4 linked regions of the Oryzias latipes genome follow. Each later gene encodes a partner of the first gene's protein in a complex. Links are inferred from orthologs where the notes say so. Each region holds a gene or a part of one and is shown in the gene's direction. Other genes may lie near its edges. The genes, in order: cmc1, timm21, cytochrome c oxidase assembly factor 1 homolog and smim20.

Region 1 (4,342 bases):
TTTGGATAGAGGAGGTAGTTGACAGTTGTTTCTGAGTGTAGTCTATCGTCTGTATTGCTGCTCGTGTGAAGACACTCTTTCCTCAGCGTGTGATTCTGCGTGTCTCGGAGAGAATACCTGTCTCTTTAATTGAACAAGTGAGGCTGATACGCTTGGAATCTATGTGATCTTTGTGCCACACACCTGACTGTGGTCAGACTGTGTGAAACGTGCAGTCTGTGGCTGAGTCTCTGGTACATTGTGGCTGTATGTTGACATACTTTCAGGAGAGATTTGCTACCATATTACCAGCATATCATATTTTTTTCATTCTTTTTAAGTCACTTGACAGGTTTGATTAAATTTTGTAAGGTTTTGAAGAAAAAAAATTAAACAATTTAAAAAATTGTTACAAAAAATGTCCACTTTTAGACGTTTTAAAACTTTTCTAGACATATATATTTTTTTGTACACTAACATTCTAAAGGTTTTCATGTAAAAAAAAGGATTGTTCTGATACCAAATTAACAGAACAAAGACAGTTGATATATTAACCTTTTTTGGAAGACATTTTAACAGAACTGTGAAAGAAATACACCAATTGATGACCAGTATAGAATATAATGGAATTTGATCAAATGGCTGAATTTTTCTCTGTTTGCATCACTTAAATGACTTTATTTTGCTGCGACTGATTTATTACAACTCTTCCTTAAAACTGCTTTCATGATTTATTCAAGGTATAAGTACTTACTAATGACAAGTCGTTTTGGAATTTTGGGCTTCAGGAAAAAATTGCGGATGTTATTTACTAAATTTGTGGTAATTAATCATTCAGTATCCATCCAGCAGAGAAAACACAAAAAAGGATAAGCTTGGTACTTCCAATTATATTGCTTAAATTATAGTTTTAATAATCTAATTTCATTTAAAAATGTTGTAACCTACATTTTGTTTCATACAATGTAACTCCTTTAGTAGTCAACGTCTGTTATTTAAATCCAGGTCATATATAAAAAAGATAATTTTAGAATGATTAAGGAAATGTTAAATAATTAAGTATTTACCCAGAAAATGGTCACTACCATTATTCAAAATAATATAATATAATATAATATAATATAATATAATATAATATAATATAATATAATATAATATAATATAATATAATATAATATAATATAATACAGTATAATATGATATAACATTACATAACATAACATAGTACAGTATAGTATAGTATAGTATAGTATAGTATATGATATGATATGATATGATATAATATAATATAATATAATATAATATAATATAATATAATATAATATAGTAAAATACAGTACTATATAATACAATACAATACAATACAATACAATACAATACAATATAATATAATATAATATAATATAATATAATATAATATAATATAATATAATATAATATAATATAATATAATATAATATAATATAATATAATATAATATAATATAATATAATATAAAAGTTTATTTTGCTTAAAAAACCTGACTTCATTCGGAAGAGGCGGTACTCGTTACCACACCGTGTTGTCTATGGGATTTGTAGTTTCATTCTTCTTACGTCAGCGGAAGTGTTTTCAGCGTCCGTTAGCTAGGTCACATTGATTGCCTCTGTTTTGTAATGTTTTGAGAGTCCCCCCATAATGGAAGCAACAAATACAGGTATGTAACGTCCTTTTATTAAAAAAAAATGCCTCGTCAAGTATAAAATGTATTCGGTAATTTCACCATAAAGATGAATATGTTATCTGGATGATAACTACTAGCCATTCCTCGGTGTCTTGCCATGATCATGCATGACGTTAGCGACATATCGATCCACGACGTTTTGGTAGTTGCAAACCGAACTCCACTTTATTTTTATTAGCTACATTAAATGTTTTGTAATTTTGCACATTAGGCGTTGTACCGTCATGATAAAGCCGTAGTCTTCATCAGTTTAATTTACTAATAAACCGTTTCCATCATCCTCGTTTGGCACACACATCTCTCTTGTTTACCTCCTTTTCTCCTGATCTGATACAGAGGAGGTCCATCTGAGACATGTGGAGACGGACGTGCTGATCCCCAAGATGATGAGGGAGAAAGCCAAGGAGCTTTGTGCGGACAAGGTTGATGGTGTGTTTACAGATAACTCAGCAAATACCAGTGAGCTGTGGGTTAAGCTGACTCCTTCTCTGTACAGCACACACAGATTCGTCTTCATTGTGGCCGTCATGAAAGGAGATCTTGATCACGTGTGAACTTTGAGTGACCTTGAGATCTAAAACCAAAAAAAAAAAAATATTTTTTCATTTTTCTGAGCAGTGTAGGATTTTATTTCACATTAAAACCTCTTGTGATGTTGCTGTCACCACATTAATTTGGACCAGCAACATCCACAGAGCTTGATGAACGTTGATGGCATTTTGGAACCGATAAGCGTAGGGGTGTCAAACTCATTTCCACCGAGGGCCACATCAGTATAGCAGCTGTCCTCAAAGGGCCGGATATAACTTATACATGTAACTAAATGTAATGAAACATACACGTAACTACTCCTTAATGTTAAACAACTAATTTATTTATTATTTATAACTTTTGAAAGTGACAATTACAGTTGCATAGAAAACATATGTTTGCTTGTTACTCTATCATAAATCCTTTTAAATTTGATTCTGTCAGGTTAGGTTATATGGACAGTGTTTAAGTCCTAATGTATGGTTGCCCAATCTGATATTTCAAGGCAGATTCCCCCCCTATATATATAAATACACACCAATTTTTATTTTTTATTTTAAGAAATCAAAAACTTTTATGCTCTCGGGGGCCACATAAAATGACATGGAGGGCCACATTTGGCCCCCGGGCCTTGAATTTGACATATGTGGATAAGAGGAAGGGACTCCTGTTGTAATGCCACTAAATCAACAGTTTTCTGATGGTTTCACAGTATCAGCAAAGTCTCAATTTTGGCCAATTATCTTTACATTTTTGGTCAAACCAAAAAACTCAGCACCTTGATAACACTTAAATATTAGAAATAATGATGTCTAACATGAGTTACTACAAATATAATGTATAAAAAGAAACAACAGTATAAAACACTGCAGAAAACAATAGTAAAATACATCTTTTTCATTATCACTGGTGTATGAGTAACCATCCTCAAAACTCTGGACATTGTACTTTTATTATTCATTTAATGTTTATGACTTTTTTTTTTAAATATGCATCCCTAAGTGCAGAACTCTTAAGATCACCAGTTTTTTTTCTAGTAAAGATTTGTGTTAATCAAATCAATTATTTGATTTCTAAAGCATCAGGTTAACGATTTGAAAATGGCATTAGACTTTTAGTCTCAAAGTCTTTCCATTCCTAATTTTTCCTTAAAATTTAAAGAAGTAAGGGGATAATCTGGATCAGTAAGTTTGACCCAAAAGTGAATTTAGTAAAAGTCTTGTTTGAGTAGGGCAGCATTTCATTAAATTAAATTCTTTGAGTTAAATTTATAGTAAAAACCTCAGAACAAATGGTAATGCAGGCTATTTTCAATAGTTGTTTCTTAATAAATACAGGTTTGTTTGAACGCGTTTGTATTTTTTAATATTTAATATTTTCTGTTAAAAAATAATTACAAACAATGGGACTGATTTAGTTGTGGCTAACCAGCATATTTTACATTAATAATAGTTTGACAGTTATATTGGCAGTTTTTTCCTCTTCTTGGGTCTCTCCTTTCTATTCCTTAAACATTTGACTTGTGTGCTGCTAAACTTTTGCTGTGAATTATATTTAAAGGCCAGGCTAACTGGCATGCCAGCAGTAACTACATCATCTGCACAGAAACACTGCCCGTAGTCTTGCTCGTGCAGTGCTACAGGGCAACTGCAGCGATGCATCAACCAGAGTGACTAAGTTATGTGGTTTGTAAAAATCTGATCACAGCCAGTGTGCGCTGCTTACGCGAGGAGAAGGGTGCACATTCAGGCTGGGGTGATGGGACAGACAGTGGCTATGTGGTAATGGAAACCCCCCTCATCTTACAAGCTTCTCGTCCCACTCATTTTCACACCTTCATCCTCCACCCTCTCATGCTGTGTGCTTGTGTCTGCACACGTGTGTCTGTGTTGGAGTTTTACAAAGAAACGTGAAAAACGCCTGGCAGCACGTTCACTGTGTTTTTGTCTTTACACACAAGCAGCCCACACTTGGATTTTGTGGGCTTTGAGAAAGGCGCGTTCTACTGACCCCAACCCGTCATGATTTTTCCCACTGAATAGATGATTCACGCTAATATTTTAATGTCTTTCAGAACAGCCTACATGTGAAAGACCTCACTCTGAGTAG
Region 2 (4,136 bases), on another chromosome or scaffold:
AATTGACCAGTTTTGTATTTGACCAATCCCCTGAGGAAGAAGGAAGCTGGTGTGACAATGGAAATATTTTGTTCAGTGGCAGTTCTACACTGACTTACAACCCCCCCCACACCCACATTGACCACATCGTTTTGTGTTCCCTATTTTTAATTAACACAAAAATCAACACAAATGTAAGAATTTTATATACTCGTATTACAAGGGTGTCAAACTCAATTGCACAGGGGTCCAGGTTGTGGGCCGAACAGGATAAACATTTAGTGAACACATTAAAGATACGTTTTCAAACATTTTAAACTTATTTTGAACAAAAATTTGAATAAAAACAGACAGGAATATTGTTTCGGAATAAATCAACTTCAAGCAGCCCCAAAAATGTAATTGATAATCACAAAGACACTAAATAACATTGTTATAAAATCTCAATCATGTGGATTTGCTTTCAGGAAAGTGCAACTTTAATTGAAATAGGAAAGAAAATATATGCATTTATCAGATGTTTCTGAAATTTGTGGGAGTGCTGACTCAAACAGCCATTCAGCAAATACATATTCATGTCTGCTGTGCATTTAAGTCCTTAGCCAGTAATGCTGTAGTGAGCAGTAATTTGTTTTCCTTTCATTTTTTATCAACATGAAAGGATCCTTTTAAAATAAATTATACCTGTAATTAAAAAAAAAACTTGTATTAATTAAGGGTCTATTTAAAGTATTTACATAATCCTAAGTACCAAGTCAATAAGTTTGAAACCTTAAGTGAATTATTTTTATGTTGAAAAAACTCTGCTTCTAATTAAGTATGTCTAAATTGTTGCATGTTTTGTTTTTTTGGATTTATAACTTTGTTTTGTCTCAACACGTTTTACCTTTGTTATAAAACATAAAAACTGTTTGATCTCAATTTTTTAATCATTGTTTTAGCAGAAAAAAGACCACATTTTTTCTGCTAAAAAATGTGGTCTTTTTTCAAGAATTCTTGAATCTTGAATCTTTAGCAGAAAAAAGACCACATTTATCACTCAGAATTGACTTTTTTGGACAGTTTCAACTTCATTGTGGAGTTATTGTGCAGTATAATGAAAACAAAATCAGTAAAACGAAGTGTGGGTTTTTAAAAAGAGGATGGAAATCAAGCATTGCCGCAAAAACCGATTTGAAGATAAATCAATAAAGCGAAATACGACGTAAGGTCAAAAAAGCCCCAGACCACAAATAAGGCTGCAGTTTGACATCCGGGACAGAAGGGGGCAGTAGCCATCTTTAGAAAATCCTCGACGTCTGATCGACCCAGCAGGTCAGTGAATCAGAGGTCTGAATGGCGGTTTCCAGCATTGCAATTCCATGTTACCATGAAAGACCGCTGTTATTTGATTCTTATTTTCAGTAGATGAGCTGCTGTTTTCTTTTCTTTTTTTCAGATATTGTCCGTCGGATAAAATAATGTCTTTCACGCACATTTTAAAAGCCGTGCAACAAAGTGTGCGGAGCTCCGGGAAAACATTTCTCCCCGTGCAGCAGGCTGGCGTGCTGTTGTTCACACGCAGAGCAGGAGCGGTCATCCCCGGCCTGTCCGTCCGTGGGTCAGAGGCTCCTGTGTCCGCCCTGAGCTGTCTCTGTCAAACACGAAGACGCTTTTCTGTTCACGTTATCCTCAGAAACAAGGAGGAGAAGCACAGGTCTGTTTCTGCCTACCAGAGTCCTAAAGTGTCCTCTGCTCAGAAAGGTATGCCCATTTCAGATTTGTGCAACTAAACGCATATTTACTGTCTTGTCTCTTTAAATGGGGTTTAAAGCTACTATTTTATTTAGAAAAAACTAAAAATCTTGTTTTAGGACCGCCCATTTTGTTTTCTTACAACCAAAGCTGCTTTCAAAGTTTCTTGGCAAGTAATAACTCCTACTCCCTTTCCTGTGGTGTTCCTCAGGTTTCTGTTCTGGGCCCTCTTTAGTCTATACCTCATTCACTCACTTTATGTACTTCATCTTTTTCATGTGATTTATTGATACCTAAAGATTCTTAATGACCTGAAACTGTGTTGGTAAGGTATAAATATCCGCTTAGAAGTTATGAACCGGATACTTCATGTAAAGAAAATGTTAAGTTTGATAAGTTTGCTTCCTTCCACTCCCTTTCAAGCCATCTTTAATTAAATGACTAAATATTCTATGTTTGATACATCTTAGTTTGTATGGATGTTGATTGTGTAGTTTTCAGCATTGTTTTTGCTTTGGTTGCTTGAAATAAGCAATGCCAAATCCAATTGAACAAGGTTTATTGAAAAAAGAAAAGAAAATCCAAATTAATCTTGAAGATAAATTCTGCATTAATTCATCAAATCAATGGATATATTTCATTTTGCATTTATTCCAGCATTGGAATATATATATTCCAGACCAAGAATTTGCTCCTTTATTCTATTTTTATGTCATTATTTTTAAAGTAATGAAGTAATTACTAACTCTGGTAACGTTAGGTTGGGGGTGTGAGGGGGAGCGGGTAATAGGTTGGTGATGGGAAGTGGAGCAGGCTTGCTCCACGCCAACAGCACAGTGGTCAATTTCTATTGAACTACTGCTGCTCTGCAGAAACTAACTAACTAAAGATCTTTAGGACTTGTCATCATAATACCTCGGGGCATACTAGAGGGCCAGACCTAACGTTATGTTGATGAGTTCCTCCTCCTCTTGTCATCTCTTATAGCCGCAGTCTAATAGAGCTACCCGTCTGCACAGACACACAGTTTCCTTTTATATCAAACCTGGAATATTTTCACTCTGGGTTAAATTTTGCTTATAAATCTAAACTCTTCCACTATGCATTGGCCACTCAAGAGCCTCTGCTCTGTTTGTCTTTCAGTCAAAGATGCTGGGAGAGACTTCACCTACCTGATCGTGGTCCTCATCGGGCTTGGAGTAACAGGTGAATTGAACTGCACGAGTCCAAGGAATGGCTACACAACAATCCCACATTGCTTGTTTATATATTTATTTATTTGGTCCCAGAACACACAACCTAAATAATCAGCTGCAGTTTTCTGCTGTGTTGGTCAGGGGGGCTGTTATATGTGGTGTTCCAAGAGCTGTTTTCCTCTACCAGCCCAAATAAAGTCTACAGCAGAGCCTTTGACAAAGTCAGGTCGCACCCAGAGGTAAAAATCAAGCCAGACGGCGTCTCCTATCAATATTTTTTTACTGTTGAAATGGCTAGAAATCATTGTTTTTCCAAAATAAAAGTAAGAAATACATAATCAATTGCAGGTTATTGGGGCATTTGGAGAACCAATTAAATGTTACGGTGAGACCACCCGCCGAGGGAGAAGGCAGCAAGTCAGGTGTGTTGACACTTTATCTTATCTTATTGAACTTTTTCTTACTTGCAAAATGTTGCTTTAGCATTCATTGATTCATGGTATAGAATACAGTAAATCTGATCAAACTTGGCATAACAAGCAGCTGCCTTTAGTTTTAGAGGAAATGCTTTTGCAGGATTTGAAGGACTTCCTTTCAGAATCACAACCTGTGAACATCAGCTATAAATCATATTTTCAGCAGCATTGAATTTCCTTCAACGTTTATGCAAAACTTGTCATGAAGGAGAATTTAGTTTCAGACCCCACAGCTATGAAACATAAAAGTTTTTATTGTCTTTTGAAGAGCTAACGTGGTATTCGTGCTGATTTATTGTAAGCATCTGAGAATCTGGAGCTCTGGAAGAATGGAGTTACAAAATGTTAAGGTTATTACATATATATGTTATTGTTGGAGTTTTTTTATTCCTTATTCTCATATTTCCACTTCAGTCACGTGGAGTATGTAAAGGATGGACTTAAGCACATGAGACTAAAGTTTTACATTGAGGGATCGGAGCCGGGCCTGAAAGGGACGGTGCATTCAGAGTCTAAAGAGGTAAGTCTTTATTTAAATGGAAACCTGTTGTTTCTTGTGTGGATTTTTTGATCAGTTGAGATAATGGTATCCTTGTTGTTTTGCAGAATCTTGAAACTGGAAAGTATGAATTCCGTTATGTATTTGTAGAAATAGATACCTACCCGAGACGGACTATTGTTGTGGAGGACAACAGATGAGGAGCTTTTCTGACACTCAGGGGACAAGTCAAGACGTTTGCACTTGTAAAGC
Region 3 (4,005 bases), on another chromosome or scaffold:
AGAGGATCGTGAGCACACACACAGCGCTTTGGGGCGGTTTGAGCTTCAAAGCAGAAAGGCCGCTCAGTCCTTAGAAATCGTTCAAACAATCACGTGGATTTGTGTTTCGAGTCGTGTCCCGACTAAATAAAGGCTAATGTTATTCCCACATGTTTACATGCAGCCAAGATGCAGATTGCAGCACCACCCAAGCTAATGTTGTTAGCCCGTGTTAGCATACTGCTAATTCTGGCTTCTTTCTGGCTCAGTTTTTCAACAGAAAAAGCACTGATTAAAAATAAAACGATGAGCGAACAGGCGTTTCATAATAACCGTAACATTATTAAAAGCAGGTTTAGATGATCGTCTTGTATATTACCGAGCTGACATATCAATGTATAAAACCGCTCTGCAACATTGTTTTGTAATGAATTGTTACATTCAATAAAGTTTGAGAAAAAAATAGCCGCTCGGCGGAACTGATATCCGCTTCCGGTTTTTCAAATCCTACTGCGCATGTGCGAATGATTTATTCCGACCGAAAGTGTGACCCATGTGAACGTTTGTTATAATCTGAAAACATTTTTCTGGAACCATCTACACAGTTGGATTCTAATCCGACCATCGATCCCATCAAGATATTTTTCACATGTAACCGGGGCTTATGGTGTCGACTCGCAGCTTGGCGGGGGCGTGGCATCACGATGGTGTCTCTCCATCGGGATGTCACTCACCCATCACGATGGACGATGTTTCCCGACCAGTTCTATTGTTTCCCCTGTATCGTAATCAGCATCAGTTCATTGCACTTTACCATGGCTCCTGGTAAAAACGTACTGTGGCTCAGGATCGTTTCAACTCGATTTTTCCTAATAGAACAATAGACGTTGTGTAAAATAAGACACACTTCAATGAATTTACAATGGCTAGGTGAATCAGTATCAGTAGCGATAGCTCAGTGGGTACATGTACACAATACACTATAGCAAGTCAATGGGGTCTGCATCCAGAGGTGCTGGGTTCAAGACCAGCATTTAAAAAAAATAAAATAATTTGCTTTGTGTTTATTTTCTTCATGTCATGAGTGTTTTGCTGTGTCAAGCACTTCTCACAGAAAACGTCACATGTCATGTTGTTTTACGTTTTATTTTTTAATTATTAAAAACAATGTTTTGTGTTACGTTTTTTTCCATCATCACTTCTACATTGAAGTGTTACAAGGAGCTTAGTTGAAGCATATGATATACGGCCAGTCCGCCACCAGATGCCGCTGTTCTGTGTGGTTTCAAAGCCCTGAATGGCTGGTTCATTTTTCCGGCACAATTACATGAAGCCCAAGGGAAGCTTCATGGGGCTTCTATTCCCATCGCTAACAATTCTAACTATTCAGTAGGACTATCAGTTGTGTATCCACCTGACTTCTGCACAACACAACTGATGGTCCCGACCCCATTTATAAGGCAAGAAATCACACTTATTAAACCTTACAGGGCACACCTGTGAAGTGAAAAACATCTCAGGTGACTACCTCTTCAAGCTCATCAAGAGAATGCCAAGAGTGTGCAAAGCAGTAATCAAAGCAAAAGGCGGGTACTATGAAGAACCTACAATATGACATATTTTCAGTTTTTTCACACATTTTTGTTATGTATATAATTCCACATGTGTTCATTCATAGTTTTGATGCCTTCAGTTTGAATCTACAATTTTCATAGTCATGAAAATAAAGAAAACTCTTTGAATGAGAAAGATATGCGATATTGGTGATTAATAGTGCGATAACGATATAATTCGCGCTATATAAACAAATAGCAAAACAACCAAAAACATCATTTCCGTGTTCACTGCAACAGTTTAAAAATTATACTCCAAATGACCCTCGTCGACGTAGGAGGCAAACATCAAACATAAAAGGGCTCATCTGATTGATCAACAACGTAAACGGGTCCTTCCGACTGGTTAAATGCATAAAGGGATTTATTTCATTTGTTCAATATTTCAAGCTGCCATGAGTTTGTTTTAGCACATTTAAGGTAACCATTTATTGCGATTTTCGCGGTCTTTTGGGGTATGCATATTGCACAGCTTAATGTCGCGATAACGATAAATTTGCGGTATACTGTGCAGGCCTAATGTACATGCATCATTATACGCAAAGTGATGAGAAGTTGTTTTTGAAAGGATGGGTTTTAAGGACTAAATATGACGGTAAGCCAGATGCTTTGCTTACCATAAATACAGTTGATGATCAGGTGGACGCCTCCTTGCCCCTCCCCCTTCACCATGTGCTGCTTTTGGAGCATGCTTCTGATTACAGAAATCCTACCGCAGAGTGTCTTTGGTCAGAGGTTATTTCAGATCCTCTGTGGTACTGACTGAATGTTACAGGAGATCTTTCCCACTCGCGTCTACAAGTTCAAGTCAGCTTTGTTGTCAAAAATGCAATATATATGGCATCCAGCACAGTCATCTCAACCCACAGTCAAACTGCCAATAATAATAATGGTCTGATGTACAAAATATATACACAGGAAGTATCTAGAAAAAGTAAGATTGGGACATGGTATTCAGTATGGATAAAGGGGCAATAGTGGTTATGAGACAGATTCGTGTATCTTCATGTAATTCAATTTTTTCAATTAATTTTTTTTTTTGTATAGCCCAAATTCCCAACAACAGCAGCCTCAATGGGCTTCTTAACGTGTAAAGTGACAACAACCTACAGTCACTTTGATGAATGTTGGAAATTTATTGACTGCAACTTCTATTTCTCTCCTTGTAGATAAAAATAGATGTGTGGTTTAATTGAATTATTTTTTGAATGTGTTTTTTTTCTTTTCTTTGCAGATTAAGATTCCTGTCACAGGCTCAAAGACTGGAGGTTATCTGTACACGTGTTCACACAGAGAGCCACAAACACACAAGTGGGTCTGCTTCAGTTTTTTCCTCTGAACGCTCAGTACAAATTAATAAGGAGTTTGTGCACCCCCCTGCAGGTGGGATTTGAAACAGGCTGAGCTTCACCTCCGGGAAGGTTCCGTCATCGACTTGCTGAACCCTCCTCCTCGTCCAGCTACGCCAGAAGAAAGTACACTAGAGGAAGACATGGACAAATGGCTCTGAACGGGAATTCCAGACCAGTGTCTGGTGCTGAGGACGGGCTATGCTTTGATCATTACCTCGTACACAGAGCTGAAGCTGTTTGTAGAACGGTGCACGTCATTCTGCAGCGTGCAAATGAGAACCAAAGAGCTGAGGCGCAGCTTTGACTGTAATTTATTTCAAATGTTTCTCAGTCTCTGTTGGAAAGGATACATTTGTCAACACTGACTCTTCACTCAGGAGGCTCCTTTTTCACTCATCTCCCCTCTGGCAGACTGTCTTTTTTTTGTTTGTTTTTTGTTTATTGCAAACTAAAAGAGAATTGCGACATACCTGAAATACAAAGAAACAAACATATAGTTTCATATTTGTAATACAACTCGGCCAGTTATTCTTTTTTCCGAACACCACTCTCCAGTTTCCCCACCCCTGCAAAAAAGGGAAAATAAATGAATATCTTTAAAAAAAGAAAGAGGAACACCCTCAACCCCCCCCCCCCCCCCCTCTCCATAGTTTGCAATACAAAGCTATGATATATATTGTCCAATGTAACAAAAGCTTACCTCTATATGATCAACTCAATGGCCAAATCAGTCAACCAAATGGCAACATAAATTAGAGAAATATAGTTACATAAATAGCTTATGTAATAATATTTATACGTAAGAAAAATAATACTTATAATGCTAATAATAATTAGTAATAACTGGAATATTTTAAACTATAGACTACGCGGACGTGGTGGTAGAATGTGAGGAGGCGAAGGAGAAGAAGTGATCTAAAACCCGACCCCAGACTGAGAAAAATGTGTCCCTCAATCCCCGAACTGAATATTTTATTTTGTCAAGTTTTAATAGTTGCATAAGATCCGTCAGCCACTGGGACACCCTGGGTGGGTCTTAAGATTTCCAGTGCAATAATATA
Region 4 (4,239 bases), on another chromosome or scaffold:
CATTACATGTGTCATTGTGTTCCTTGTTAGAAATACTAATTCTCAAGGAAGAGAATTACGTACTTTTAAGAATTCTGAAATAGGAGGATTAAAGTTATGTCTTAAACACAATTGCTCATAATCTAATAAATTGCCCTCCGTGTCCATCAGATCAGTCACCGACCAAACACTTTGCCCAAACCATTCAGCACAAAACAAGGACTTGTTTCTATGGAGCATGTATTCATTGTTCCAAATAGTACTTAAAAATGGCGATGCACATACAATATTTTCCAGTATAGCAGAATTGTGGAACTCTGATAATGCTAGATTGAAAGATTGGTTGTGTTTGATCCACGATTTTATCTATAGGATTCCGTTACGGCAGTCAAAATTCATAACTTTGAGACCACCATCTTTAAATTCTTTGACCATATTTATTTTTCATGTAATGATGCTTGTTTCTCCAAATAAAGTTTAAAGTCATTTGGCAGATGGATTTTATCATTTTGTTTGGGATGGCATTAGAGTAAGATGGGTAAATACATCTTGACAAACACTCCATCTTTGTCAGATAGATCCGGCCCTGCATCGACATGTCTCTTTGGAGCCACATATTTAACTCTGTCTCACATTCATCCAGTTTTTCACCCACATTCCTTGATTAGCTTATTTTTTGGTCTTTGGTGATGTAGATCCCCAAGTATTTAATTTCTGATTTAATGGGCATATGATTGATTTCTTTTAAAGGTGTGTCATGAATAGTCAACAGTTCACAATTTCTTTAAATTTAAGTTTGACCCTGACGCTTTGGAAAAGTGTTTTACTTTTTCAATAGCTGCTTTGATTTGATGCTCATCTTTTAAAAACAGTGTTGTGTCATCTGCTAGCTGGCCAATAATAAGCTCTGTACCCAAGACATTTAACTTTTTGATGTCATAACAATTCGTAATATAAATGGCCAAATTTCAAGATTTCCAAGAAGACTTGATACAGTAATTTTCTGATATCTTCCCAAAAGTGTCTATAAAAGTCGCCTGTGAGCCCATCTGAACCAGGAGATTTATTAAGAGAGAGTCGATTAATGACAGCATCAAGCTCAGAGATTAAAAGTTGTTTATCGCATGTTTGTTTAAAATTGTCGTCTATTTTGGGGATGTGGGGAATCTCTTTTATAAAGTTGTCACAGTCTGCTCTTGAAAATTTAGAGCTGTAAAGGTGGCTATAAAATCTGTAAATTTCTGAGGATACAGCCTTTTCATCTGTAATTTCTATATCATTCACTAGAAGTGATTTTAGGCTCAGTTTAATAGATTAACATAATTTTACTTTCATAACCCCTAGCGTTTATCTATCAAAATTGATATACAGTGTATTGCTCTGTGTTCCTTGCTGTTTGTCATTTTTGGTTTTTAAATAAAGATTTGTCAAAAAAAATGTGACAGCGTAACCTTTTCCCCGGAAGTACAAGTTGTAAACACGGGGTGTCTTTAATGCTAGGTTACGTCCTACCAAGCTAGAAAAATGTCGAAAAATATAAGAATAGCGCTGATTTTTGGGGGTTTTATAACAACAGTCGCCGCTGCTTTATATCCTATTTTCGTCTATCCTCTGACGCACAGAGACGAGTACAGTAAGTAGCTAACAGCTTGTATTTATTTATTTTTTTAGCTCTTATACAATGTCATGTAAACGTCACAAATATTTTTATATATTTTCTAAAGATATTCTCCTAAATCAAACTAAAGGCTGTTTTGAAAAAAATATTTGAAGTACCGGTACTGAAGTATTTTTTTTTTTATTTAAACTGCTTTTGGAAGCTAGCTTCTAACTTTTAGCTAGCTAGTAGTTTAATTCCATTTGAGTATTTTGTCCTCAAAGCTGAAAATAAGCAAACTTTTAAAGTAATTTTCCTCATAGGTTCTATGTTTTTCCCCCAAACATGTTTATAATTAAAAATAATACAGTCAAAATGATGCAAATCTAAAGATGAAAACATGAATAAAAACAGCTACAGCAAAAATAGTACAACAATAGAAAACATGTTTGAAATAGAGCAGGAAGAAGCTTATTTATTAAGTCTGCCCAAGAAAAAGACAAGAAAACGACTACTAATACTGCTTCTAGTACTAGTACTACTATTAAAAATAATAATAGAAAAAGAGAAAATCAACTACTACTACTAATAATAATGTGAATAATGATGATAATGATAATAATAAATAACATAAATGAAGGAGAAAGTACAATTAAATAAAATAAAAAAAGCTATCTTTTCAGCCGCTGCTATTTAACAGTTTGCATGCACACCGATCATGATCTGATTTCAACAGTAGTCTGCTTACTGAGGTGAAAAAAGCCTGATATCTTTAATGGATTATGGCTGGTAATAGTATTTGGGCCAGATGTCTCTCCAAAAATTCTATTTCCTGCTTCAAGGATTTATGTTTGCCTGATTTATTTTAAGTTTTTCTGCATCGGATGTGGGAAAAAGGCAGTTCAAATAAACTTCTGAAACAAAAAACAACAGAAAAAGTTCATTCTTAGGCATCAAAATACACAACTAAAAAAACAAATCTGACTGTTCTTTATGAAGGTAAATATGTTCCAAAAAGAACGCACTTTTGATTTGATGTGAGATCTTGTAATATAGAATGTGAATACTTGCACAACAAAATTCTGCATCTTTGTGTAAAAATCTTTTGCTGTGAACTGAGAAATTCCCATTTGCATGTGTTCATTTAGAGTTACAACGTCAAATATGTGATTCCAACTGCTCAAATGTGCTTCTGCGTCTGCTCGAATCTGCTGGCGCAAATCACAAGTGCGCTACAACTGCGCTCTGAATTCTGACACATTCCTTGCAAGAAACTTGTGTCAAAACTGATCTGTGTCTGATAATGGAACTGGGGGAAGGGAGGGTTAGAGGAGGGGGGAGTTAACCAATCAGAGTGCAGCACTCAGAGGATTTGGTAAAGTTAGAAAGATGGTCACAGATTCGGACTTCCTGCTTGAATAACTCTTCCAGAAATCTCCATCTTTGGAGAAATCCAGATGTGTTCATGTAAGCAGCAGGATCTGAAGGTTTTAGGTCAAACTGAATCCTAACTACTTCAAGCTACTTGAGGTCACACTATAATGTCACGAATGAATCAGGTTTTCTGAAATTAGCTCTTTAAAGTAGGATTTTTTTTAACTGTTATATTATTTAAGTAATAATAATATTTATTTATTTTTTCCATGGATTTTCTGCACCTTTGCAATGTTACTATTATAAAAATACAACCCCTGTAATGATTTTCACAATCACCGGCAAATATGTTCCCTAAACTGAAGCTTTAGACTCTCCTTCCTTAATTTTTTTTAAAAACATTTGAAATCAAACATTTCTAGAAATTTTTTGAAATGGATCATAGCATGAAAATTTTCCCTAGAATAAAGAATCTAACTGAAATGCTGTGCTCCTTTTTAGGACAAACTCAGAGGATAAATCGGTCCGGAATAAACCAGGAAGATGTGCAGCCTGTGGGTAAGAAAAGGTCGCTGAATTCAAAAAAGCGGGTGAAATGATGCTTACAGGAGCTTTGACAATACTGGTAAAAAAAAAAAAAAAAAGAGAAATGTTTGGATCAACTTTCCTCACAAAAGAGGAATCTTTTTGTATATTTTGTCATTCCAAAACACTTCTTGGGTCCGTTTTTAATCAATTAAAAACAATAAACAAATGTTTTTACTTTAAGTATGGATGGCAGATTAAGTGAAATCAATTTTTGAAAAGAATCTGTGAAAGTATTTTGGTCGGATTTCTTATCCTTAACAAAAAACGCCATGAAAGCGAAACAGTTTGACATTTTTATTGGATTTGAGTCACAGAAAAGTGAAGGCAGCCCGGCTGCTCTTTTAGATCAACTTTATTTTGTCACAGGATCACTTTCTACATCCTCTGTAATCATTTGATAATTACAATAATGACTAAAATGTCCACATTTGGCCTAAACATTTTCTGAATTTTCTGAAACTCAAAATTAAAAAACACATTGTTTGGAGCTAAATTAAGAAATAAAGCACAAGTTAAAAACCATGTGCAACTGCATTTGCTGTAGTATTTTGTTTCTTTTGTAACTTTCAGTTTAATTACATTATTTCTTTAATCTCCATTTATGATTATTATCTTTTTAATAACTATTGCGGGATTTAATATCTATTAAAGCAAACGTCTGCTCTGCAAAGCACTGATTCTACAAAGAGAACAATTCATGT

What was found.
Region 2: cmc1 (region 1) and timm21 share a complex: the UniProt entries of both Homo sapiens proteins name them as parts of the MITRAC (mitochondrial translation regulation assembly intermediate of cytochrome c oxidase complex) complex. The link is inferred for Oryzias latipes from reciprocal best matches to the Homo sapiens genes CMC1 and TIMM21.
Region 3: cmc1 (region 1) and cytochrome c oxidase assembly factor 1 homolog share a complex: the UniProt entries of both Homo sapiens proteins name them as parts of the MITRAC (mitochondrial translation regulation assembly intermediate of cytochrome c oxidase complex) complex. The link is inferred for Oryzias latipes from reciprocal best matches to the Homo sapiens genes CMC1 and COA1.
Region 4: cmc1 (region 1) and smim20 share a complex: the UniProt entries of both Homo sapiens proteins name them as parts of the MITRAC (mitochondrial translation regulation assembly intermediate of cytochrome c oxidase complex) complex. The link is inferred for Oryzias latipes from reciprocal best matches to the Homo sapiens genes CMC1 and SMIM20.

What each region holds. Positions count from the first base shown.
Region 1 is NC_019874.2:13,407,132-13,411,473, reverse strand, and holds the start of cmc1 (COX assembly mitochondrial protein homolog), read left to right. Parts: upstream 1-1,517; 5' UTR 1,518-1,656; coding exon 1,657-1,675; intron 1,676-2,038; coding exon 2,039-2,131; intron 2,132-4,342. UniProt on the Homo sapiens protein: Component of the MITRAC (mitochondrial translation regulation assembly intermediate of cytochrome c oxidase complex) complex, that regulates cytochrome c oxidase assembly.
Region 2 is NC_019878.2:15,518,240-15,522,375, reverse strand, and holds the start of timm21 (mitochondrial import inner membrane translocase subunit Tim21), read left to right. Parts: upstream 1-1,293; 5' UTR 1,294-1,308; intron 1,309-1,417; 5' UTR 1,418-1,439; coding exon 1,440-1,722; intron 1,723-2,856; coding exon 2,857-2,919; intron 2,920-3,050; coding exon 3,051-3,148; intron 3,149-3,257; coding exon 3,258-3,331; intron 3,332-3,799; coding exon 3,800-3,905; intron 3,906-3,991; coding exon 3,992-4,084; 3' UTR 4,085-4,136. UniProt on the Homo sapiens protein: Participates in the translocation of transit peptide-containing proteins across the mitochondrial inner membrane.
Region 3 is NC_019875.2:5,301,904-5,305,908, forward strand, and holds the end of cytochrome c oxidase assembly factor 1 homolog, read left to right. Parts: intron 1-2,826; coding exon 2,827-2,903; intron 2,904-2,975; coding exon 2,976-3,102; 3' UTR 3,103-3,460; downstream 3,461-4,005. UniProt on the Homo sapiens protein: Component of the MITRAC (mitochondrial translation regulation assembly intermediate of cytochrome c oxidase complex) complex, that regulates cytochrome c oxidase assembly.
Region 4 is NC_019876.2:17,386,060-17,390,298, reverse strand, and holds the start of smim20 (small integral membrane protein 20), read left to right. Parts: upstream 1-1,421; 5' UTR 1,422-1,503; coding exon 1,504-1,612; intron 1,613-3,451; coding exon 3,452-3,508; intron 3,509-4,239.